Linked DNA regions of Coturnix japonica. The protein of the gene in region 4 binds, or shares a complex with, the protein of the main gene of each other region. Links are inferred from orthologs where the notes say so. Each region holds a gene or a part of one and is shown on either strand. Other genes may lie near its edges.

Region 1 (5,749 bases), on a different chromosome or scaffold from region 4:
TGGAAGAACGAATCGGGCTGGCCGCGGAGCAGAGGTTCATCCCAGGTCAGTGCACAGGCCTCTTGCATTTGGGGAGCTCTGTTTAGAGTCAGCTTCAATTGGAGCAAGCAGGGGCTGGAATGCTTCTTGATGGACAGTCTGCAGCATGACAGGAGCATTGCAGCGTGCCAAAGGCCTCTTCTTGAGGAAGGACAGGCCAGAAAGCAGATGCTGGTAGCAGAAAGGGGGAAATAAAGGAGGGTGGGGTGGTGAGCAGCCATAACATTGAAGGATAGATCTGCAAGAAGGGTGAAGATTACGCTGGAAGAAAAGCAGTAAGTCAGAAATCAGCCTCTCTCCAGAACCCAGCAGTGAGGGGGTGCTGCACAAACCTCCTGCACTGAGCTCACCCCTCCCACTGTGGCAATGCCAGGACCACGAGCAGGGTGTGAGCTCCCCAGCATGCAAGAAGGCTGCAATGCATTGAGCACCAGCAGCTCCCTGCTGGCTCCCCAAGCAGAGCCTTGAGGAAGGCTCATAAAACCCCCCAAACTGCATCGAGCTGTCCTGATGCAATGCCCCATTTCCACTCAGTTTGCTCTTGGCACCCACTAAATAATTGGGGAATGAAAACCCATGTGTGTGTCCTCACCCAAAAGGTGCCGGGGGGCAGCTCTTCCTGCCAGCCCCCCCTGTGCATCCCACATCACTTCCTGCTGTGGTGTGGGCTAAAGCAAACCCTGCCCCAACAACAGGAACCCAGCTCTGCACTGGGCTGCTCAGCCCCAACAAAAGCACTGCTTGGGATGAACTGAAACCCCTGCAGCACACCCCAAAACACTTGCATTGCAAACCCCATCCTGCAAGGGGAGGAGACAAAGTGAACATGAGCAGGAAGCTGTTGCTGCTGGTGAGGCGTCCGTCCTTCGCTGCAAGCTCTTGGATGCAGGCAGGCTGCTGCGATGCTCAGATCAGCTGCAATCCAGTGCTCCAGCAGCAGGAGCCTCAGCTACAAAACTTGGTGAGGAAGCATTAAATTAAAGAGCGGACAGCAAAGCAACAGGCAGCGAAGCCGAGCAGACTGAGGACACGTGCTGGCAACACGTCAAGCACCAGCTGAGATATCTGGGCTCAGGCAAACTTGCCCACGTGTGGCTTTGCAGCTGCAGATGATCCAGGTCATGGGCTGCAAGCAGTGCAGGCTGCAGCGCTCACACCAGGACCCAGCAGCCATGCTGACACTGAAGGGGAAAGGCCACATTAAGTGAAGTTTTCTCAGCAGCTTCCACACCGCAGGGACTTGGCAAGAGAACAGAAGGGATGCACGAGTTACAGCCTGGGACTTTCACCTCGTGCTGATGGCCATGGAGAGCACAGGGTAAGAGGGGGAAGGAGGTGTAAAACAAAGAGCAACCTAAGGAACAGAGGCTGCAGCAGGCAGAGAAAGAACTCAGGGGATTTATGCCTTAAACACAAGCAGGAACAAGGAAGAAAGGTGTTGGGTTCCTGCTTGAAAACGTGGCAGCCTCAAGTAATACAAAGGGGGAAGCAATGGGAAGAGTGGAAAACACTGCTCAGATGTGCAGGGAAAGGCTCTGAGGGTCCCTATGGAGGAAGACAGAGCAAAGGCCTCCAGCAGGAAGCTTTGGAGATGCTCCCACCGAGCAGAACCTCCATGAGCCTTAAGGAGAAACAAAGGGTGCCCTGAGCTCTGCTGCTGCCTGCTTCTATCCAGCACTGAGAGCACAGCATTGCTCTGCTTTGTGTCACGGCTTCATTCTGCTGGATGCTCAGCCTCTGATGAAACCTGCCTTGGAAACAGTCCCCCACTGGGAAGGGTGGGTCATGCAGCAATGCAAGCTGCAGATCCCTGCTGTGTGCTGCACTTCCAGCCTTGCTGCCGTCCCCAGGCCAACCATGGGACAAGCACCCAGCTCTCCTCTCCTAATGGGATCCAGCAGGTCTGTTTGGAAGCAGAAAGCTCCAACTCCTTCCATGCACAGCCACGCTTCCTCCAATATCACTTTGTTAGCAGTTGTTTGGCTTGCAACAGCCCTTCCGTCCCACGGAAATGGGATTCCTGCTTGTCAGCAAGTGCCAATGAAATGCTTTTAACGGGGCACTTCATTAACTCCACTTCTTCTTTTTTTTGCCACTGATCTACGCCAGCAAAGCGACAGCACAGGGCAACCTCAAGGCCATTCTGCACAGCCCCTCCTCCACTGCATCACAGAGCTGAGCCCATTCCCTACCACAGCATCAACCTGATAACTCGGGAAGGATCTCCCAAGCCTGAAACCTCCATTACAACAAACAGAGGGAACTCCTGATGGATTTATGCTAACCTGAGCCTTGGGATGGGGGTGGACACACCACCGTGCAGCTGATCGCCCATTGCATGAACACACTCCCACTCCTTTCTGCTCTGGAAACATCAGTGCTAGAGTGAGTTGTCCTCCCCATTTCCCTTCTTGAGCTGCTGGTGCATAGCCAGGCAGGCAAGGGATGTCAAAGGATTAACATACATTTAATAATCCACTGATTAAAGAGCCCCTAAGCACCCGCTGCCATACATGAGGGCTGCTGTGTTCTCCTAGCCAGCATAATGCAGCAGAAGGAGCCTGACTCACTGGTTACCCCCTGAGAAGTCCTGCGGGCACCGCAGTTTTGACCACTTGGTGGGGAGGAGCTGCTTTAAACAGGCCTGCAAATTGCAAAACAAAAGACAGACCGGATCGATCAGCCCCCAATCCCCTCCCTGTGCCAGCAAACTGCCGGCCAGACACGACAACAACGACTTGCATTACCCAAACACTGCAGCACTGCCATATGCTCCCAGTCTCACCCTACCCCATCCATACGCTCCCAACACCTGCCATGAGTGCAGTATTATGGCCAGCATGGGATAAGGGGGGGGGGTGAAAGCAAACATATGTGCCCCTGTTTACCCACAACAGAGCGATGCCCGCTGGGTTCTGCAACCTGGGAAGGTCGGGATGAAGCCTCCCTATAGCTCTGAGTCACATTACAGCCAATGCAGGGCCCTATTGGCCTGGCTGAGCTCATCTCAGTTTTCACTTCGGGGTTTTTCAGCTTCACGGGTTGTTTCTCCTCCTTTGATACAGCAGTTGGAAATTCCCCCCATGTGGATGACTGGATTTCTTCGGTTTGGAACTCAGAACTCATCGCAGAACGAGGCTTCTCCATAAACAACCCCACAACACGTGGGGGCTGAACCAACAGCAGAAAAGGCAGCAGAAAGAGAGCAGAGTCCACAGCTTCCAGCACTGCAGCGGGTCACATTTACTCCCCTTTATCCCCATTCCTTCCCTTTAACGTTCACCATCACAGCTCCATCTCCGGAGCTGGAAATGCACAAGGATGGCTGTGATGGACCCTCCTGGGCCAGGACCCCCACAGCACAGCCTGGGGGGGTACGGGACCACCTCCATAGGGCAGAACACTTCTCCGTTAACTTTTTAATGGGGGTGGGGGGCCAGGACAGCCGCCCCTATGGAGCCCCGCTCCCCCCCCACCGCCAGGGCCCCACGTTCAGGAAGCAGCGCCGCTTCCTCCGGGCCCAAAAGGCCTCTGAACCCCCACGGCCCCTTTGGAGGCCTCTAAGTAACCCCCCAATCCCACCTCCCACCTCCCATCCCCAATACAGAGCACAGAGCCGCCCCCCGCCCGCCCTCACCTGGTACTGCGCTCCCGAAGGCCCCATCGGACGATATCCCGGAGCGGCCCCGGAGGCCGGAGTCGGGTTGGGGCCTCTCATCATACCGGGTCCGGGCCCTGGAGGAGGAGGAGCGGCGGAGCCGGAGGGAGGCAGAGGGCTGAGAGGGAAAGCTCCACGGGCGGCCATGGCGGTGCTGGACCGGGCAGAACCGAACCGGGCCGGGCCTAAAGCTGGGGGGGCGGCCCGGCGCTGTTTACTCGGAAGCGGCGGCGCCCGGAGCGGAGGGAGCGCGCGGCGTGAGAAGCCACGCCCCCCACCCCCGATAAGCCACGCCCACTCCCACGATAAGCCACGCCCACTCCCACATTAAGCCACGCCCACTCCCACATTAAGCCACGCCCCTCCGCTAAACCACGCCCTCAGAGAAAAAAGCCACGCCCCCCGATAACCCACGCCCCGATAAGCCACACCCGTTCACGCCCTATCCTATAAGCCACGCCCTCCACTAAAGCCACACCCTTCACTAAGCCACGCCCCACCCAATAAGCCACGCCCCAAAGCAAAAGCCACGCCTCCGATAAGCCACACCCCGTTCACTAAGCCACGCCCCCTCCGATAAAACCACGCCCCTTCCACTAAGCCACGCCCCCAGAGCAAAGCCACGCCCCCCAATAAACCACGCCCATCCACTAAGCCAAGCTAACTCCAATAAGCCACGCCCCTTCCATAAGCCACGCCCCCTTCAATAAGCCACGCCCCTTCCAATAATCCACGCCCCTCCGCTAAGCCACGCCCCCAGAGCAAAGCCACGCCCCCTCTGCCAAGCCACACCCCCTCAAAAGCCGCCACTAAGCCACGCCCCCTCCAATAAGCCACACCACTTCACTAAGCCACGCCCCTTCACTAAGCCACGCCCCCTCTGTGTGGCCACGCCCCTTAAACAAAGCCCCGCCCACTTGTGAGGCCCCGCCCCCATTGGCTGTATGTGTGCACATGTGTGTGATTGTGTGCACATATCTCTGCCAGCATGTGTGTGTTTGCATGTTTAGGGCCGTGTATGCATCTGATATGTGCATATGTGTGCACACGTGTGTGCATATGCGTGCCCACTCTGCATGCATGTGTGTGTATGTGTACATGTGTGCACGTGTTCATAATAGTGTACATGTGTGTTCATATGTGTTTTCCTGAGTACATGTACGTACGTGTGTACATGTGTGTGCATGTATGTGTGTATGTGTGTGGGTGGTGTAAACACATCTGCATGTGTGCATGGATGTGCATGGGTACATGTGTTAGCATGTGTGTACACGTGTGTAGCTGTTAGTGCATGTGATTATATGTGCATATGATTGCATGTATGTTCATACATGTGTGTGTGGGTGTATATGGATCTTCATGTGTACACCTCATGTATGTACCTCTGTGTGTATGTATGTACCTCCATGTGCAGGCATGTCCTTATGTGTATGTGTGCACATGTGTATTCACATGTTTGCATGTGCCTATATGTGCACATGTATGCACACACATGCACGTGTCTCTATGTGTATGCACACATGTGTACATGTGTGTAAATGTGCCTGCATGTGGACATGTGTGAGCATGTATGTAAGTGTGTACATGCATGTGCATGCGTGTCAGGGTATGTCCATGTGTTTTGATGCATACTTGTGTGTGCATGCATGTGCAGCTGTGCACACGTATGCATGCACATGTGTATGTACACAGCTGTGCACGTGTCCATGTGTGTGCACATGCTTGCATATGTGCCCACGTGTGCACGTGTGTTTGCACATGTGTTTGCACATGTGTCCACGTGTGCATGCACCATGCACGTGCAGGCATGTTGCTTTGCACTTTGGCTGTGCAAGTGTGTGTTTGCAGCCGTGCAGCTGGTTGTGCATGTCTCATAACTCACACTGGGGGCAGCTCGTTGCCTCCCAGTCCTGCACTCATTGCTCCCATTGCTCCAGCTCTGCTTCCAGCTCCTCATTGTGATTGATGAGCACCGATGCTTTGCTGGGGTTCCTCTTTGGATCTTCCCCTTTTCCACTCTCCCATCAGGTGCCACATCGTTAGCACAGGGTC
Region 2 (5,238 bases), on a different chromosome or scaffold from region 4:
CTCCTTCCGAATGGAAATGCCTGGCCTGCAGCTTGGTTCTGAGGCCAAACAAAGCTGTGTTTGCAGAGCCCACACAGGTTCATCCTTCTGACAGCAGCCCCTGGGGCACGATTCTGTCTCAAAAGGGATTTTAGCTAAATACAAGTTGACTTCATCTTTCTTGCTGATAACAAGTCGCAGCTAATGGGTTGTGTCACTGTAGAAAACAGGCTCACTCCAGGATAAATGCTAGAGATATTTCTGGCTTAGGCTCCTTTCTCCACTTGGTGATGTGACCTTCACTAGTCAGTACTGAGCTTGTTTTGCAGCCAGGAGCACGGGGAGGTGCAGCTCTCCAAGCAGCTGACACCCCACATCTCTCCAGGAGTGGTCAGAAGTATATGAATATCCTGAATATCCCTCTGCAGAAGAGGGCCCAATGCCTGGAGGTGTTCAAGGCCAGCTTGGATGGATGGCCCTGCACAGCCTGGCCTAGTATTAGATATGGAGGTTGGTGTTTGCATAGGATCCTGCCTGTGTTTGTTTGCATATTTGCTTTTGTTCAGTGTAAGGAACAGAGATAACAAGTGGTGTTATGGTAGTTCTTACTGTGAGCACTTTGTATGAGGAAGCATCAGTACATTGCAGAAACACATTGAAGAAGGCTCAGCAGTGTTTATGGGGCAGGAATGGGCTGAACCCCACAGCTTGCTCACTCAGACTGCTCTGAAGCATGGGGGCAGCTCCTGCTTCAGCCCTTCCCAGCTCTGTGCATGGGGAGTGCTGGATCAGTAATAAGGTTGTTAGGAGAAGATGAATCCTAAAAGACATGATAAACTCCGTTAGGCATCAGCATACAATGTGAGCTGTGTCCCACCTGTCTTCCAGATACCTGGCTTACCGCAACTTCATGATCGACACCTATCGCCTGAACCCGCAGGAGTACCTGACCAGCACCGCCTGCAGGAGGAACCTGACGGGAGATGTGTGTGCTGTCATGAGGTGAGGGAACATCCATCTTTCAGCCAGTGCTTGCATTAGAAGAAAAGGAAATAGCGCGGCTTTGGTAATGGAAATGCTCTGGTAGGCAGGATAGGTGTGGGTAGCGGAATCAATTGAGTTTGAAGAGGCCATTTAAGGTCATCTAGTCCAGTTCCCCTGCACTGAACAGGGGCACTACAGCTGGCTCAAGTTGCTCAGAGCCCATCCAGCCTGGCCCATCCATCCAGTAGCCATTGTGCTGTCACTTTAGCAGTCTGTTCAGCCTCCTCTTGTAACCAGAGTATGTTATACTGTCCTTTATTTATGGAGTTCTGGGTGCTCGGTGAACCTACAGAGTTGGGGTCTTAACCTTTAGTGTCTGCTCTTTATTAAGCGTGTGGAGTTCATTTCAGAGTTCCTGGGTCTGCAGTTCAGTTTGGTTGGTTTGCTGTGTTTCACCAGATTTAAGTTGTGAGGTGCAGCAGAGCCCTGAAATCTCAGAACTTGCTGATGGTAGATCCAATATGAACAGCTACAGGTGGGTGAGAGAAGAAAGGGGTTGTGCAGCCCTCACATTGGTATGATGTCTGCAGATGGCTCCACATATGCAGCCTGAGCTTTACTTCATCTTTAAATAGATTTCCTGTTGTTCTGTTCCCGTGCTATATGCTAGGTGTCATGCTGGAGAGGTAATCAAGTCCACACAGTATGCCATATTTATTGCTCTTGTGATCAGTGAAGGTCTGTAGGAGGTGATGAGCCAATCTGATCCAAAACCAACCATTCCTTGGCTGTCTTTGCAGTCTTGCTTTGTTTCTTAAGATGTGGGTTTGTCCTGTTGTTTCAGAGTGCACGCTTTTCTGGAGCAGTGGGGTCTCATCAACTACCAGGTGGACCCGGAGAGCCGCCCCATGGCCATGGGCCCTCCTCCCACCCCTCACTTCAACGTGCTGGCCGATACACCCTCCGGCCTCATGCCTCTGCACATCCGTACCCCACAGGTGAGCCCTGCAGTGCCCTGGGGGTGGGAGGTGGCAGCTCTGGTCAGTGTCGTGCAGGAGAGTCTGCACATGTTGCTCATGGAAGGTGTTCATGAGTTCAGAATGGGTCAGTTGAGTCATATCGTATCATATCATAGACTGGCCTGGGCTGAAAAGGCCCACAGTGCTCATCGCATTCCAACCCCCTGCTGTGTGCAGGGTCAGCAACCAGCAGCCCAGGCTGCCCAGAGCCACATCCAGCCTGGCCTTGAATGCCTGCAGGGATGGGGCATCCACAGCCTCCTTGGGCAACCTGTTCCAGTGCATCACCACCCTCTGGGTGAAAAGCTTCCTCCTAAGATCCAACCTAAACCTCCCCTGTCTCAGTTTAAAACCATTCCTCCTTGTCTTATCGCTGCCCACCCTCACAAAAAGCCATTCCCCCTCCTGTTTATACACTCCCTTCAAGTACTGGAAGGCTGCAGTGAGGTCTCCGTGGAGCCTCCTCTCCTGAATCAGATCCGCACTGATGCTGTGTAAAGACATCTCCATAACTCATCATGTTGAGCTGTTTTGTTGGTTCTGTGTTGTGCTCAACCTTTGTCTGTAAACTTGGGGGATCCCTTTCAGCTCCTGACACTCCGTCCTTCCTTTCATGTTTGCTCACAGATCCCAGCTGCTCAGCAGATGCTGAGTTTTCCTGAGAAGAACAAAGAGAAACCCACTGACCTGCAGAACTTTGGGCTGCGCACAGATATTTACTCAAAAAAGACCTTAGCAAAGGTAAGTGCGTTTGGATTTCTGTTCCCCTGTGGCTTCTATTAAGTGGGTTCTATCAGTTGTCCTCCTCCAGATGACAGTGAAATGACTCGTTACTCTCAGATTCCCACTTCAGTTCTCACTGGAGGACACTGAGATGCCTCGCTGTATTCATGTTGGGTAAACAGTTTTGAAGGAGAGGACCACGTGCCTGTCCCAAACTACTCAGTGCTGTCAGTCTACAGACACTGAATTTGTGTTATCCTTATTTGATATTTTAATTGAATGCTTCGAAGTCAGCCAGGTGTCAAATAATTCAGTACAGAACCAAGAATCTTTCAGCAGAATCTTGAGTATAGAACTCAGGATCTGTCAGCAAAGTGCAATGTCTGGCACTTGGGCTGGAGGAATCCCAGTCATGAATACAATTGTGTTTTCCTCATCTTTTATAGAGTAAAGGTGCCAGTGCTGGAAGAGAATGGACGGAGCAGGAGACGCTGCTGCTGTTAGAAGTAAGTTCCTGGGGGAAAATGTAAGGCCAGGAGACAAAACCATGTAGGATTTTATACAGTAAGGAAAATGGACACGGAGGTTTAGTGGGTTCTTTTGAAGTCGGGGCAGATGGCAACAACATCCTTTTTGCTGCAGTTCTGAGACCCGGCAGACGTAGCTGGAGGGATGGGTGGTGGAGCTGTGTGTGCACGAGGCTGCCTGCTGCTGCTGTGCCTTTGGAGCTGGTAAAAGGCTGGGGCTCTCCCTTGAAGCTGTATCTCTTTCTTTGTCCGTCATCTCTACCAGAGCGCTGCTGCTACACAGATAGAGTGGAAGCATCTTGTACTGAGGGGACATTATGTTCTTTAAGGTTCACTTCTATCTGATTGTAGCTACAGCCCAGGAATTAAATGCTTAGATATGTTTGCACAGAGTCGAGAGCAGGTCTTGCAATGCAGGGAGGTCTTTGCATTGAGCAGCAGTTAGCAGCACACTGTGCCCTTCAAGGAATGGTTTATCTGCATGTAAGAACATGGAGAAGTTCTCTTGATCTTTCCAGGCTCTCCAATAAGCCATAACATGTTACAGGGAGCTGCAAACAGCCGCTCTGGAAGTTGAATTATTTAACACGCAGATTGTTTTCCTGTGCTCTGCCTCTTAATAAAGGAAGCTTTTAATTTGGTAGCCCTTGCATCCAGCACGTTAATTCATTCCAGGTGTGGCTGTCAGTCTGCACACTGCTCCATTCGGCCTGGGGAAGGACTTTGCTTATGGGGGAGAACAGTGAGGATGTGCTGTTCTGGCAGGGCTAATCTCAATGTGCTGCCTTCTTTTACTCCTGTTCCTGATAGGAAATGCTGGTGCCTCACACACAGCAAGCAGCCACCTCATGAAGTAATCCAGGCAGCATATTCATTTTTCTTTTAGGAAAACAAACAAAGCCTTGAGATTGCAAATGTATTTAATGCGAGTTTCAATTATTAATGTTCCTCATTCTTTGTGGATTTAACCTATGAATTAATCAGTACAGAGAGAATATCAGTTCAAGCGTAAGTAATGCAGCTGTAACGAGGCAGCTTGGTCCAATTAAATCCTCGGGGCGGCTTTGGGCAAATATCTGTGTGGTGCAGTTCCAAAGAGCAAATGGTACCTAAAATAGTCATCTCAAATAATGCCCATCCTTCCTCCTGTTGGCTGAGCAATGGGAGGGGTTGGCTTTCCCTGCCTGCCCCACTGCTCTGCCCCTCCGTGGTGTTCCAGAGCTCTCAGCTATTCCTAATAGGACTACAGAAATCTACCAGGGAGTGAAGGAGAATGAGTAGAAACCTTTCACGTGGCTGCAGGACGCAGCACTCGATCTGATGTGCTGAGTGGCTGCAGTGGGGATGTGATGACACGTGGTGGGATGGATTTAGGGAATGTGTGATGCTGAATGTGGGGTAAATGCTTCCCCACGAGTCTGACCCAGTGAATTGAGCAGTGTCACATTGCTTTAAACACTGCAGCAAGGGAGGCAGGAGGCTGGGGGAGCAGATCCTGAGCAGCTTGGGATCCTCAGTTCCAGAGGAGCTTGTCTGAACCAAATCCTTCTTCTGCTGGGCTTTTAAAGCCCCTCCTCTCATCTGCCCTGTGGGCTGCAAGGTCTTGTGCTGTTCTTTCCCCCCAGCTCAGCTCAGCTGGAGCACAGCTTCCCTGGGCAGGGGTGGCCCATCTCACCTCGGCACTGAGTTGCCTGCTATGCTGGGCATGGTGGTGATGGGCTGACCCAGACGTGGTGACCTCAGAGGGCTGTTCTTACCTTAACCAGTCTGTGCTCCTGCTCGCTTAGGGAAGCTCAGATGTCATGGGGAGGTTGGTGGGGAGCAGGAGGGCTCTGTCTGCTGCACTACATCCTACATGCAGACGTGTGCCTGAGAAGCCCACAGCTGCCAGGATTATCACAGGGATCCTCCATGATCTCATGATGTAACACTTAGTAGTTCCAATGTGGCTCTTCCCTTGCCCTGAATTACTGCTGGGACACCCAGCTGTTTGTTGTGAGGAGATG
Region 3 (5,858 bases), on a different chromosome or scaffold from region 4:
CTACTGAAAAATCAGAGCTCTTCACGTCATTTTTCTGTGCCAGCCCCATCCATTCTTTGTTCTCTTCTTTTTATAAATAAAAAGCCAAGTAAAGCAGCCTCACCTGATCACGTGATTAATGATGATCGGTTCCGGGGGCATAAGCAGTGCATGAAGCCTTTGTGGAATTTCAGAGAACTTCATCCGCTGAGATTCAAATATCTGTGACAGAAACACAAGGCTAAGGGAAGGAACAGGAGCTGTGCCAAACAGCTGTCTGCTGACCAGGAAAAGCTGAAGCAGTTGCTCATTCCCACCACAAATCCCGTTACCTGCTGGAGGTATTTGTCACAAATGACATACTCCCGCTCGTGGGGGTCCTGGAGCTTGTGGGTTTTGATATATTGCCACAAAGCCTGGATGATCACTGGGCGAGTCTGAGTGTGGATCCCCAGCAGACGAGCCAAGCGGGGATCCAGTTTGAACTGGGGAGGCTGAAAGAAAAAGCACAGAGAGGTGAGAGGGGACTATGGCCACAGATACAGCATAGCAAACGCTACGTGTGCCCAGCACTGCTATCCAGCATCTCACCTGGTAATCGAGCATCAGAAGGACAGTGCAGCGCACATTGACATCTCCTGGCCTCTTCACCTGGAAGCCATCTGTCTCCTGAGTTGTAGCAGTTCTGTGCCACTGGAATACGTGCAACAGGAGGGGGATTTAGCTGCACCTACACGCTCGATTCCTTTTGCTCCCGCTGCTTGCCACCCAACCTCCCCCACGACAGAAGATTCATCTTATTCCCATTTATAGTTTGAAACAAGAGTTAATGCATTTATTCAGAGCCCTGGCAAGTCAGTGGAAAAGCTAAGATAAGAATTCAAGAGAATTCAGCCCTGGCACCTAGCCACTTGTTAAAGCCTTAAATATCCCACTTCACAAGTTACCAACTACACACAAATTCAATCTGCTGGAACAACAACCCATTTGTAGAGATAATACAGCAAAAAGAAGCAAGCTCACCTCTACCAGGTGATTGTCAGGGCCATAGAGGTCTTTATCAAGTTCAATGACCAGAGATTTAAAGAAGGATGAGAACTTTCTTTTCTGTTTGGTGGCATCGTATTTGGACAAAGCAGACTGCAAGCAACACAGGAAGGAAGAGAGAGTCAGGAGAGCAAGTTCCAGGACTCAAGCACAGGCAAGGTGCACAGCAGTGTTCCTTTAAGTTGTGAACACTTACATTCATCAACACATGCTCGAAAATCAAGTTCCAAGTCAAAAATGGTGAAAGACTGGAGATAAAGATGAGCTTGGAGGAATTAACTTACTCAGCAATTACATAAAATGCGAGTGCCCTGGTTCTAAGAGCCAGGGTACACAAGTGCTACTGATCGGCTCTCACCATTAATTCTTATAGCTATAAGAACTTTGTATAACTCATGTTCTGCCATGGGGATACCCATCGGTCTCCGAGTTGGGCTCTCGGTCTCGTCACCATCAGACTCCTTGGAAAACAGAGATGAAGGAGGATATCAAGCCCTTAGCTACACTCCCAGACACTAAGAAACTGGTTCAATTTCCAATTCCAGACCCATCAAATCAGCTCTGCAGTTGGGTGCCTTACACTCACATCTTCTAGCAGCCTTCCTTCTACTCGAAGCTCCCAGGAGGCCACTGTTCCTTCACCATCCTCTGCATCCGACTTGGCTGGATTGAAGGTATTGGAGATAAAAATACGTAGCTTTCGCTTTTGCTACAAGAAAAAGCATCAGCTCAGTATTCATTCAGAAGCAAAGGGATGAGAATCATGCTTATGTTTTGTTAAAACTAAGCTAAATATTCTTCTTTTCCTCATACATCCACTCTCAGGACAAACAGCACAGAGAGAGGCAGTCTTGGTTCTACCCCCCCACTTAAGTCCTGGGCATTACAGTTCTCTCTATGCTTATAGGGTTATGACACAACCTTCAAAGCCCTCCTACTCTTCTGATAACAGTAAGTCTCTGAATGTCCCTCTCCTACCTTAATGGGTCGTTTCAAAGCCTCCTGGATATCCAAGCGTTTCCTCATGATCGTCTGGTCCAATTTCCTTTCAAAGGCCAGCAGGTCCATATAAGCTTGAGACTCAGGCACAAGTTCACGGATCTACAAGCAGAACACGAGCCAATCAAGAATGCAAATCACTGTCAGTTCCCCCACATCTCCATATCAGCAGAGGCTGTCAACTGCACATGCCACTCACCCTCTGAGGTAGAATTTTGTCTGCCATCTTCTTCTTTTTAGCACTGTAAAGTAAGGAGAGCATTAAAATGGCAACCATTCTGCTAATTAACACTGGACGTTCACAAAAGGAGCGAGATGAGGTTTGTGTTTTAGGACCAGGGCATCAGCAATGCTCTCAGCCCTGCAGCAGCTGATCGCCTTAATACATCCCCAAGGAAAGCAATGAAAGCAAGGCTGCATCATTGGAAAGGAAGCCTTATGGCTCAATGTGCTTTAGACAGACTTTTCTAGGAGACTCAGAGATGCATTACCAACGTTACCAAGGCATCACATTGTACTATCAGAAACTGAACATTAACTTGCTCTTGTCCAGCAGTTGCACATTACTTTTTTATCTGCTGGAAATTCCCCTCTACCAGAGACGAAGCTGCACGAGAACATCAAAGTTTCTTTCAGCCACCCAACAAAAAAAAAGCAGCAATGAGAGGCCCAGGCCTGGCTCTGCACACAGAAAAGCTTTGTGCTGCTCTGAGCAGCCAGCAGATGACACCAAGTCAGTGCTGACCCCTTCAGAGAGAGCCTGCAGCTCAGTGATGCCTGCCCTCACCCTGATACACAGATCTCGTCCCATGGGGCTTCATGAGGAGAGAAGCAATGTGTCCACGTCCACCTGGGGATGCCCTGAGCACCCTCAATGCTCTGGTGATGCACAGAGATACCTCGAAGACCCCTTGGACCCAAGGATGCCCTGAGACTCCTCTTTGCCCTCGGGGTGTCCTGAGGAACCCTGTTGCCATAGGAATGCCCAAGGATATGCCCAAGACTCATCTGCCATCCCAGGGATGTCCTCAGGACCCCTGCTGCTCTGAGGATGCCCAAGGGACATTTTGAGACCTTCACTGTTCCCTCCCCTGCCCTGGAGGAGCACAGGGAAGATCTGGGACCCTCATCTGCTCCAGGAACCCTTCCTATTTCAAGGATACCCAAGGATATCCTAAGCCTCCCACTGCCCTGGCAGCATCCTTTGGACACCCATTGCCCTGAGAACCCCCCTGTTGCCAAGAGGACACCCAACGATGTCCCCAGAGCCTTTCTACCCCATAGTTATCCTATGAATGACCCGAGCTCCTCCCCCCACTCACAGCTCTAAGGATGGCCAAGGATGCCCTGATCCCCCCCCCCCCCCCCCGCACCGTCTATTCCCTGAGCCCCCCAGCACCCCCGGTTCTTACTTGTGGTTGCGGTTGGGCACCGCCTGAGGCTGAACCTGCTGCAGTTGCTGCGGCGCTGGTCTCTTACGGGCCTGATCCAGGCCGGCCTGCGCCATACCGGGCCTCACTGCCGGGCTCCCACCGTACCCGGGCGGCCCCATAGAGGGGCCTTGCGGTGCCAAACGGCTGCCCGGTAACATCCCAGGGCGCTGCAAGGGGAAGAAAAAAGCCGTTCCAATGCCCACCCGGGGGGAAGCCGGCCCCGTCCTCGGCCCCGCCGCCCCCACTCCCTCCCGCCCCGCCCCGCAGCGGCCCCTCCCCTGCCTCACCGGGTAGGCGGCCCCTGGTAGAGGTGAGCGGTACAAGCCCTGTCCCGGGGCTGGGCCCATGCGCACCGGTCCGCCTGGTGTGCCCGGACCCAGCGCTCCGGTCCCGGTAGCGGCCCCGCCGCCTCCACCGCTGGGAGTCACTGACTGGAAGCCCGCCCGCGCCGCCATCTTGTCCAGCACAAAGAGGAGCGGGCCGGAACCGGAGCTCTGACATAGAGAGAGCGCGGACAGCGGCCTAGAGCGGCAACGGCTGCAGAGAGCGCCCCCTGCCGGCGGGAGGAACTGCGGGGGGTGGGAAGTAGTGGGTGGGGAGGGGGTCGTGGGTGGGTTTAAGGTTCACTACTGTGGGGGAATAGGGGCCTGGGGGAGTATGGCAAGGTTCTGGGGTGGGGGTGGGGGGTGTAGAGCGTGGGGAGGGCTGTGGGTGGGGGTAGAGGACTTGGAGAGGGCTATGGGATGGTGTTGGGTTTGGGGGTTTCAGAGACCATGGATGGGATGGGGTATTTGCAGGGGGGGATGTGTGGGAAGGGGCTGCGTCCTGGGGACATGCATGGACCATAGGAAAGTGTTTTGAGGGTGCAAGGTGCTGGAGGATGGTGCTCATTAAGCCTCGATGCTGTGACTGAGTTGGGGTGGGGGTCCCCTGTTCTTACAGGTGCTCTGTGCTCGTGTTTGGGGCTGCTTTGCTTAGGGCTGGGGATGCTTGGAGGAGGATTCCTCCCTCCCTCAGTAGAAGGCACAGCGCTGAATTAAAGGCCGCTTTTTGCAAGTATTAGCATTACTTTCCTTGTCCCCAGGGCACTCATCCGTGTGGTTGCTCATAGAGCAGAGGGACCTGCATCCAGCCTGCATTAATCCATGAATAAAATCCAAGAGAGCAGCCACACCGCAAGTATTAATTAAGCAATTAATGATAATCACAGGCCATTTAGGAAGCTGTCCTGTACAGTGCATGGCATTGTTGACTGAGGAGAAAAGTGGGGAGTTGTTGGCATCTTTTCCACCAAATTCAGTGTTTCTTGACCTCGATAGAAAACACGATGCCGTGAGCACAGCCATTAGCTGTTGTCTCAGCATCCGTGTGTCCGTGCAGTTAATGTAATGCCACCTCCAACACAGCCTTGGCGCCTGGCTGCCTGATGAAATATTCATGGTGAGGAGAAGCGGTGGAACTTATCTGCTCCGTATTGTTCAGATGCAGCAACTTCAAGTGAGGCTTAAAGCCCGGCAGGAGCCTTTGGACAGAGTTAGGAAGTGGCTGGGAGGGATATAGAAATAAGGAAGGGCTGAGCTGAGAAATGGTCTCTCTCCAGCAGCAGTTCCCTGTCTGCCTGGAACTGGGGAGCCCAGCACTGAGCCCAGTGCTCCAGTTGTGGCCTCCCCAGGGCAGAGCAGAGGGGAGGTGCACCTCCCTCCATCACCCTGCTGGCCAGGCTCTGTGCAGTGCACCCCAGGGTATCATTAGCCTTCTTGTCACACTCCTGGCTCATGGTTACCCCGTTGGCCACCAAGAGACCCACGTCTTTTTTTGCAGAGCTCCTTTCTCACAGCTCAGCCCTTGTCCACTCATCCAACCCACACTTAAGAGCTGTGGGTTCCTAAGAGCTGAGCACAGTGTTGCCCCAGCTCCCCCTCTCCAGGGACGTTCTGATGCCATTTCTCCTTGTCCTCTGTCATTAGCTGTGTTTCATAAGAAGCAAGGGAGGGTGAAATAACCCCAGTGTCTCCTTACACTTGTCCTTTCTCCTTCCCTCAGCCTGAGGGTTTGCTTGGTTCACTGCTCGGTGAAATGCTACCCGTGCACCTTCGTTTCCTGCACCTGCTGGCATGAGGCATCTCTGCTGAAACCTTCCCCAGCCCGCGTGGCTCTGGCTCCAGGCAGCCGAGCAGCATCCAGGGCTGTGTAATTATAGCCCAGTGCCTGTTTCTGCTGGCAGCGTTAGCAGAGAGCAAGTGGTAACCAGGAGTTATTGCTGTGGAGGAGAGGAGGTGATGCTATCAGTGCCGCCGCTATCTGCATGGTGCGTGATTAATCCTTGCTCTGTAGGGTTTCAGCAGCTACACAATCAGCCGTGTGCAAGCAGGTGCTTCCCAGCAACCTCAGGCTGAGGCG
Region 4 (5,762 bases):
TCTCTATTTAGATGGGGAAGAAAAGAAGGAAGAAAGCTGTTTCTTACTATGAGTTGTTTAAAATAAAATATCAACAAAGATGAGGCAAAGGCATCATTTTCATGACAAGAAATGTTCTTAGCATTTGCCCTAGAGATCCTGGCTCTAAATGATTCACCTAGGTGCTGCAACCCCACAGTAATGTGCAGGGACACACTCAGAGCAAAACGTTTATCCACAAGAAGAGTAGACTTTAAATGTGTTAGAAAAAATAAAAACAATTTTCAGTCTTAGTCTTCTAATCCTGCTACACCAGCAGACTACCAGAGCTGTGTCTGAAGAGCCTTGCTTCTTTCTCCAAAATCATCCTTCCTTATTTTATGGCTTGCAAATAAGACATAAACTGTTCTCTGCTGCCATTTTCACGACAAGCGGTCTTTATGTTGTAACACTGTTCTTCTCATCCCGCTGGAGGATCAACTGAACAACTGAAAAATAAGACTGATACAGAAGAGATGTATGTCCAAGAAACACTCCATACAGAAAGAACACACACGCACGCCAAAAAAGAAAAAAAGAAGGAAAAAAAAAGGTGTTTTAACAAGCAATCTGCAAAGATGTCCAAATTCATTTAAAGAATAAAAGTCTTTTTCAGTTTAGGATTGCTAGTTCACAGCAACACTGATAGTTCAGGCCATGAACACTGATGGAAGAAGTGCAGACCACGCGTATTGTGACCTTAACTTCAACAAAACCTGAGAAAATATATCTAGAAATGTTAATTTCATGTACACCTTTGTCAAGAACGTATTTCATATGAGTGTTAGCTGGAGCACTTTTTCCTCTTGTCAACTTCAAGCCTCAGGCGTTGGTCAAAGCGTTTTTCAAACTTCACAAGAAATGCTCACAGACCACTTCAGAAATGAACAAAAGAAAAGATCTGAGACTACTTTGAACACACTCTTCTGGCGCATATGTTCTATGAAACACCACAGAAACACCAATACTGAAGCTGAGACATAACAACTCATGAGAGAAACGCTGGATTTAATGAAGCTTTAACCTCACCTCTGTCACGTCCACGCATTCTGTGTGATACACCCAACCCTGGATGTATTTTAAAACGTTCATTATTCGATCTTTCCTTCTATTGCTGACACAACCCGGTCTTCACCGCTACCACTCTCCTACATCATTTTTCGCACAGAATCACAAAAGGACAAAAGAAAAGAAGTCAAAGACAGTAAGGGGGCAATTAGGCTCCCGAAGAGAAAGTGTGCCTCGATTTGCATAACAATGCCCGGCTCACACGGCAGCGACGGCCCCACCTCGGACTGGTGCACTACTGAGGGAACTCGGCTCCGAAACGTGTGTTTGCCTGGGCCACAGAGGCTGTGGGTAACGCTAAACGACACGAACAAACTGGAAACAAAAACAAAAGAGATTGCAAATGGCACAAGGCGGTGTCACAGGTCCTACGTCACTTTTTTGCAGAAAGCGCGCACACTACTTCCAGTGGTAAAAAAAAAATAAAAAATAAATAAATAATTAGATGAAAACCGATCGCTGTTTTACCGTTCCCTTTCTCCGGTTATTTACTTACCCAAAGTATTCGCGGAAAGACAAAAAACGCGGTGTTCACCGAAGTTCGGCGAGGCTGCGTGTCGTCAACAGCCGATGCCGAGGCGAATCGCGCGGCCACAACAACCGACACGGAACGAGACTAATTACTTAATAACGATGCGCGCTTCGCAGAAAGCAAATTGGAAAGGAGAGGGAGGAGAAAAAAAAAAAAAAAAAAANAAAAAAAAAAAAAAGCATTTAACGGTAACTTCGGCTGCAGCGTGAAGGACCGTAACTTTCCCAGCTGTGCACAGACTGCCATTCCACCATGACAAATTTGGGGGGGAGGGGGAGCAGTCAGAACCCGAAGCCCGTCCGCTCCGCTCCGCTCTTCGCCGTCGGTCCGGCCCCGCTCGCGGGCTCCCGGACGGCGTCCGCGGGACCGCTACGCACCGCCCGCGCGGGGCAGGGCAGCGCCTCGGCAGCGCCAAGCGGCTTCCGGCCCGGCCGAGGAACGTAGGCCTCGGCGAGGCGGCGGGCTGCACCCCGCCGGGCCCCGCGCGCCCCTCCGGCCTTCTCGGAAAGTTTTCGGCACGGCCCAGAGGCTGCACAGCGCAAGGAGACGCGGCCCCGCTCCGTCCCTCCGCCCGGCCGGGCCGTGTGGCTCCGTACCGCGGCGGGGTGCGGCGGCGGGCGGGCTCCCCCGGGGGCACGCCTCAGGGCAGAGCCCGGCCCCGAGCCCCGCCGCCCCGCGCCCCCGCCACCATGTCACCGCCACCCAACGCGTCCGTGCGCGGAGGGGGCCGCTTCCTGATCGTCCGCCGCCGCCCCGGCGAGGACAGAACTTTTCCAGGTGCCGAGCTCGGCCGGCACGGCAGGGCGCTGCGCGGCGCCGCGTCCCGTACCGGCGGCTGGTCCGACCGAATTAAAAATAAATAAATAAATAAATTTCCGCGCACACCGGAAATAAAACGCTTTTCGCTTGTTAAGGCGATCGCCAAACCGCGAGCGCACGTTGTGTGTGTCTGTGTGTGTGTGTGTGCGTATGTCGCTGTGCGGGGCGGGGGCCGGGCAGGCGCGGTGCCCGCGGGGAGCAGACCGGAGGCAGCGGAAGCCCCGCGCGGGGCCGCGGCCCTCCCTGCCTGCCCTCCCTCCTCCCTCCCGCGCCGTGACAGGCGCCCAGCCCGCGGCCTCCCGCTGCCAGCAGCGCTGCGGAGACAGCCCCGCACCGCGCTCAGCCGCAGGACGCCACAACTTCCCCGAGCCACGCAGCCGCGGTGGGGAAGGGGCGGGCGGCCCCGGCCGCTGCTCCGCACTCCGACTCCGTCCCCGCTGCGGACGGAGCCAAAAACCCGCGGCCGAACGGCGCTGGCGGGCGGTCTCTGTCCCATTCCCCGGCTGGCGGTGCGCGCGGGGCTTATTCCCCCGACACCGCAGCCAAACTTTGTTCTCCCCGCGCCGCGCTGGCGGTGCGCACACCGGGGCGTACCGGGCGGGGGGCGGCCGGGGCTGCGCTCCGTGAACGCGCGGGGCGGCGGAACGGAGCTGGCGGGTACGGAGCTGACGGCGCGGGGCCCCGCGGGGCGAGGTGCGTTTACCTTCCGCTCGGGCGGAGCGCCGCGCCGGGTGTCGCGCCGCTGCCTCTGGGCGAGCAGCGGAGCGGGGACGGAGAGCGGCTAGGCGCCGAGCATGACTTCACCGGTGACAGCCATTCCCTCCGCTTCCCAAACTCCGGCCCCGCCCACGGCCCCCTCCGCCGCCTCCCCGCGCCGACGCCGCCGCTGCTCAGGAAGCGCCGTTCCCACTGGCCCGCCGGCGGGGTCTGCCCGCCCCCCAGCGCGGAGCCGGCGCCCCTATTGGCTGCCGCCGCCCGTCGCTCAGCCGGGAGGCCGTAGGGCGGGGAGGTGCGGTATGCGCCCGGCTCTGCCCGCGACAGCCGCGCCGCCGCCGAGGCTCCGCCACGCCGCCTCCCGGCCCGCCCGCGCGGAGCGGAGCGCGGGGCTGGGGCCACCTCCGTGAGGAGGCGCCGGCGGGCGGCGTGGGGAGAGGTGGAGAAGGTGCTGGAAGCGCGACGCTGCCCCGCGGCCTGCCTGGGCCGGCCCGCCGCCGCGGGGCGGAGCGGGGAGGAGCCGGGCGGAGGGCGGCGGGGCCTCCCGCACCTGGCGGTGTGCGCTGCGGGACACCTGCGGGAAGGGACGCACACACACAAACAAAAAGGCTCGCGGAAACGCGATACCGAAACTTCGGGGCCGCAGCCGTGGCGCGGTCAGGAGGCGGCCGAGAACGTTCAGGGCGGTCGCCCCCTGTCCAGCTGCGGTGCCGAGCCCCGCCGGAGCCCCGTGCCGCCGGGAGGAGCGGCGGCGGGTCGGTGTCGGCACGGTGCGGGCGGGTAAATGGCGCCGCCGTGCCGCTCCTTGTCCCCCGCTGTCGGCACGCTGCTCGCTCCCCGGGCCGGAGGGGCTTTATCCGTGCCCGGCCACGTACCCACAGGAGGCGGCGCGTCGCCGGCGCTGTTTGCGGAAGGTACCGCTGTTTATGTAACGGCGCCGCGGGGCCGCGCTCGGAACAGGCCGTCACGGGCTGCTCAGACATAAGCACGCCGGCAGGCAGAGCGCGGCTGAACGCGCGGTCCTGACTCCGAGGCTGCCGCTGTGCAGGTGATGTGCCCGTCCTACTGCGGGCTTTGCAAGAGATCAAGTTTAAAGTGAAGGAAAGCGTGCCTCTCCCCTCTGCCGCCTGCGTTTAACGTGCTGGAGTTGGTGACTGGGTTTAAGGACCCGGAGCACCGGCGGGTGTTATTCTGTGGTTGCTTTGGACCTTTATTGCTGGTGGAATGTGAGCGGTAACCATCCGGTTATAACCTAGCGATGCAGTGTTAATGACTGTTGTTGCTGTGTGTTCTGAGGCGTCACCGCTCGATCATTAGCTTCGTCTTGATTGTTTTTCAGAGTGACTGCCAAAATACCGATAGATAATTGTCAATCAGTGGTAACGCCGGGCAACGCCGAGTGTCCAATAAAACGACTAGGGAAGGTACTCAGTTCGTCACTGTTTTTGTGGGCAGCATCGAGGTGCAGACGAAATAAATGGAAACGCTTTCAGTTCTGTGTATACAAGTATCCACTATCGCTGCTTGAAACTGTGATCCACGAGTGATGTGGGACTTAATTTTAAACCCCACTTTATAAGTAGCAGTCCAGCTTCTTTGAACTGAAAGAACATAGTTCAGGCTTTTAGGAATTGATTCTAACGCAGCTGAAAGGATTCTCCCTCTTTCTTTTAATTTTTGTCATACCATAACTATAAACAGGTATTTGGTGGGCGGATTCTTTGCATGTTTGTTTTTATCTATTCCCAGAGTCAGTCTGTAGGCCCTGCACTTTTTGCAAAGAGAAAGCAAACCCCAAGCAATGGAGGGGAAGCTTCTGTGCTGTGCAGGGCAGTATTCAAACCATTACAAACCAGCTCGAGCCAGTTTCTGTGGGTTGTGTTTTTGGGGGTTTTTTTGTTTTGTTTTTTTATGGTTGGCTGTTTTTTAGTTGTTTTTTGTTTGGTTTTGCTTTGTTGTTTGCAAGAAAGGATACAGGGAATAAGGAAGGAAAGTAAAATTAGTCTTACAGGCAAAAGCTGTTCATTAGGCTTTTAGATAAATGTAACTATGTTTAATTAATAATTGTCTTTATTTTAGGGGGTCACTGGTAGCCAATTCTCTTGCCCATTTGGGACAACAAAACCTCAGATATTGTTAATGTAAAACTTTTTCCATTTGGTCGTTGGTAAAGTATGAATTAATCTGAGTGTAAACTGACTGACAGGTTGGATTTATTTCTTTTGTCAGGATTAAAGATATTCAACTAAACTGGCAGATCATTGTCATAGGCTGCAGTTACAGTTGTAGCTGTACCTACCATTACCTCAAAAGAAAGCCATGCTGCAACAGTTTGTGTTCTCTGCCAGCAGTTACAGCCATTGCAGCAGAAGTGGCAGAAAATAGGGGCTTGCTTTCTTGATTCTTTGTTTTGGCACCTGAGTCCTCAGCAAAGTCCAGCTGCTAGGGTTAGATGGACAGTGAAAATGAGTTAAAGCTACCACATTCCATGAAGGTGGCTTCGTGCTCAGGTTTCTATGCAATTAACAACAACAAAGACTTATTATTTTTTAAAATGTACCCAAGGAAGCCTTAAGTGAGCAAGGTGAAGTCTTGCCTTAAGAAAACAGAT

What was found.
Region 1: SMARCA2 (region 4) and SMARCD2 share a complex: the UniProt entries of both Homo sapiens proteins name them as parts of the BAF complex. The link is inferred for Coturnix japonica from reciprocal best matches to the Homo sapiens genes SMARCA2 and SMARCD2.
Region 2: SMARCA2 (region 4) and SMARCC1 share a complex: the UniProt entries of both Homo sapiens proteins name them as parts of the BAF complex. The link is inferred for Coturnix japonica from reciprocal best matches to the Homo sapiens genes SMARCA2 and SMARCC1.
Region 3: SMARCA2 (region 4) and SMARCD1 share a complex: the UniProt entries of both Homo sapiens proteins name them as parts of the BAF complex. The link is inferred for Coturnix japonica from reciprocal best matches to the Homo sapiens genes SMARCA2 and SMARCD1.

The regions. Positions count from the first base shown.
Region 1 is NC_029542.1:1,259,567-1,265,315, forward strand, and holds the start of SMARCD2 (SWI/SNF-related matrix-associated actin-dependent regulator of chromatin subfamily D member 2), read right to left. Parts: upstream 3,984-5,749; 5' UTR 3,845-3,983; coding exon 3,677-3,844; intron 1-3,676. UniProt on the Homo sapiens protein: Involved in transcriptional activation and repression of select genes by chromatin remodeling (alteration of DNA-nucleosome topology).
Region 2 is NC_029517.1:722,722-727,959, forward strand, and holds part of SMARCC1 (SWI/SNF complex subunit SMARCC1), read left to right. Parts: intron 1-867; coding exon 868-981; intron 982-1,807; coding exon 1,808-1,961; intron 1,962-2,609; coding exon 2,610-2,723; intron 2,724-3,151; coding exon 3,152-3,211; intron 3,212-5,238. UniProt on the Homo sapiens protein: Involved in transcriptional activation and repression of select genes by chromatin remodeling (alteration of DNA-nucleosome topology).
Region 3 is NC_029544.1:346,841-352,698, forward strand, and holds the start of SMARCD1 (SWI/SNF-related matrix-associated actin-dependent regulator of chromatin subfamily D member 1), read right to left. Parts: upstream 3,950-5,858; 5' UTR 3,914-3,949; coding exon 3,746-3,913; intron 3,626-3,745; coding exon 3,438-3,625; intron 2,268-3,437; coding exon 2,225-2,267; intron 2,128-2,224; coding exon 2,005-2,127; intron 1,736-2,004; coding exon 1,607-1,735; intron 1,120-1,606; coding exon 1,003-1,119; intron 673-1,002; coding exon 571-672; intron 474-570; coding exon 312-473; intron 202-311; coding exon 104-201; intron 1-103. UniProt on the Homo sapiens protein: Involved in transcriptional activation and repression of select genes by chromatin remodeling (alteration of DNA-nucleosome topology).
Region 4 is NC_029547.1:23,945,306-23,951,067, reverse strand, and holds the start of SMARCA2 (probable global transcription activator SNF2L2), read right to left. Parts: upstream 3,294-5,762; 5' UTR 3,141-3,293; intron 1,727-3,140; 5' UTR 1,583-1,726; intron 1,402-1,582; exon of another isoform or gene 1,308-1,401; intron 1,167-1,307; exon of another isoform or gene 1,048-1,166; intron 1-1,047. UniProt on the Homo sapiens protein: ATPase involved in transcriptional activation and repression of select genes by chromatin remodeling (alteration of DNA-nucleosome topology).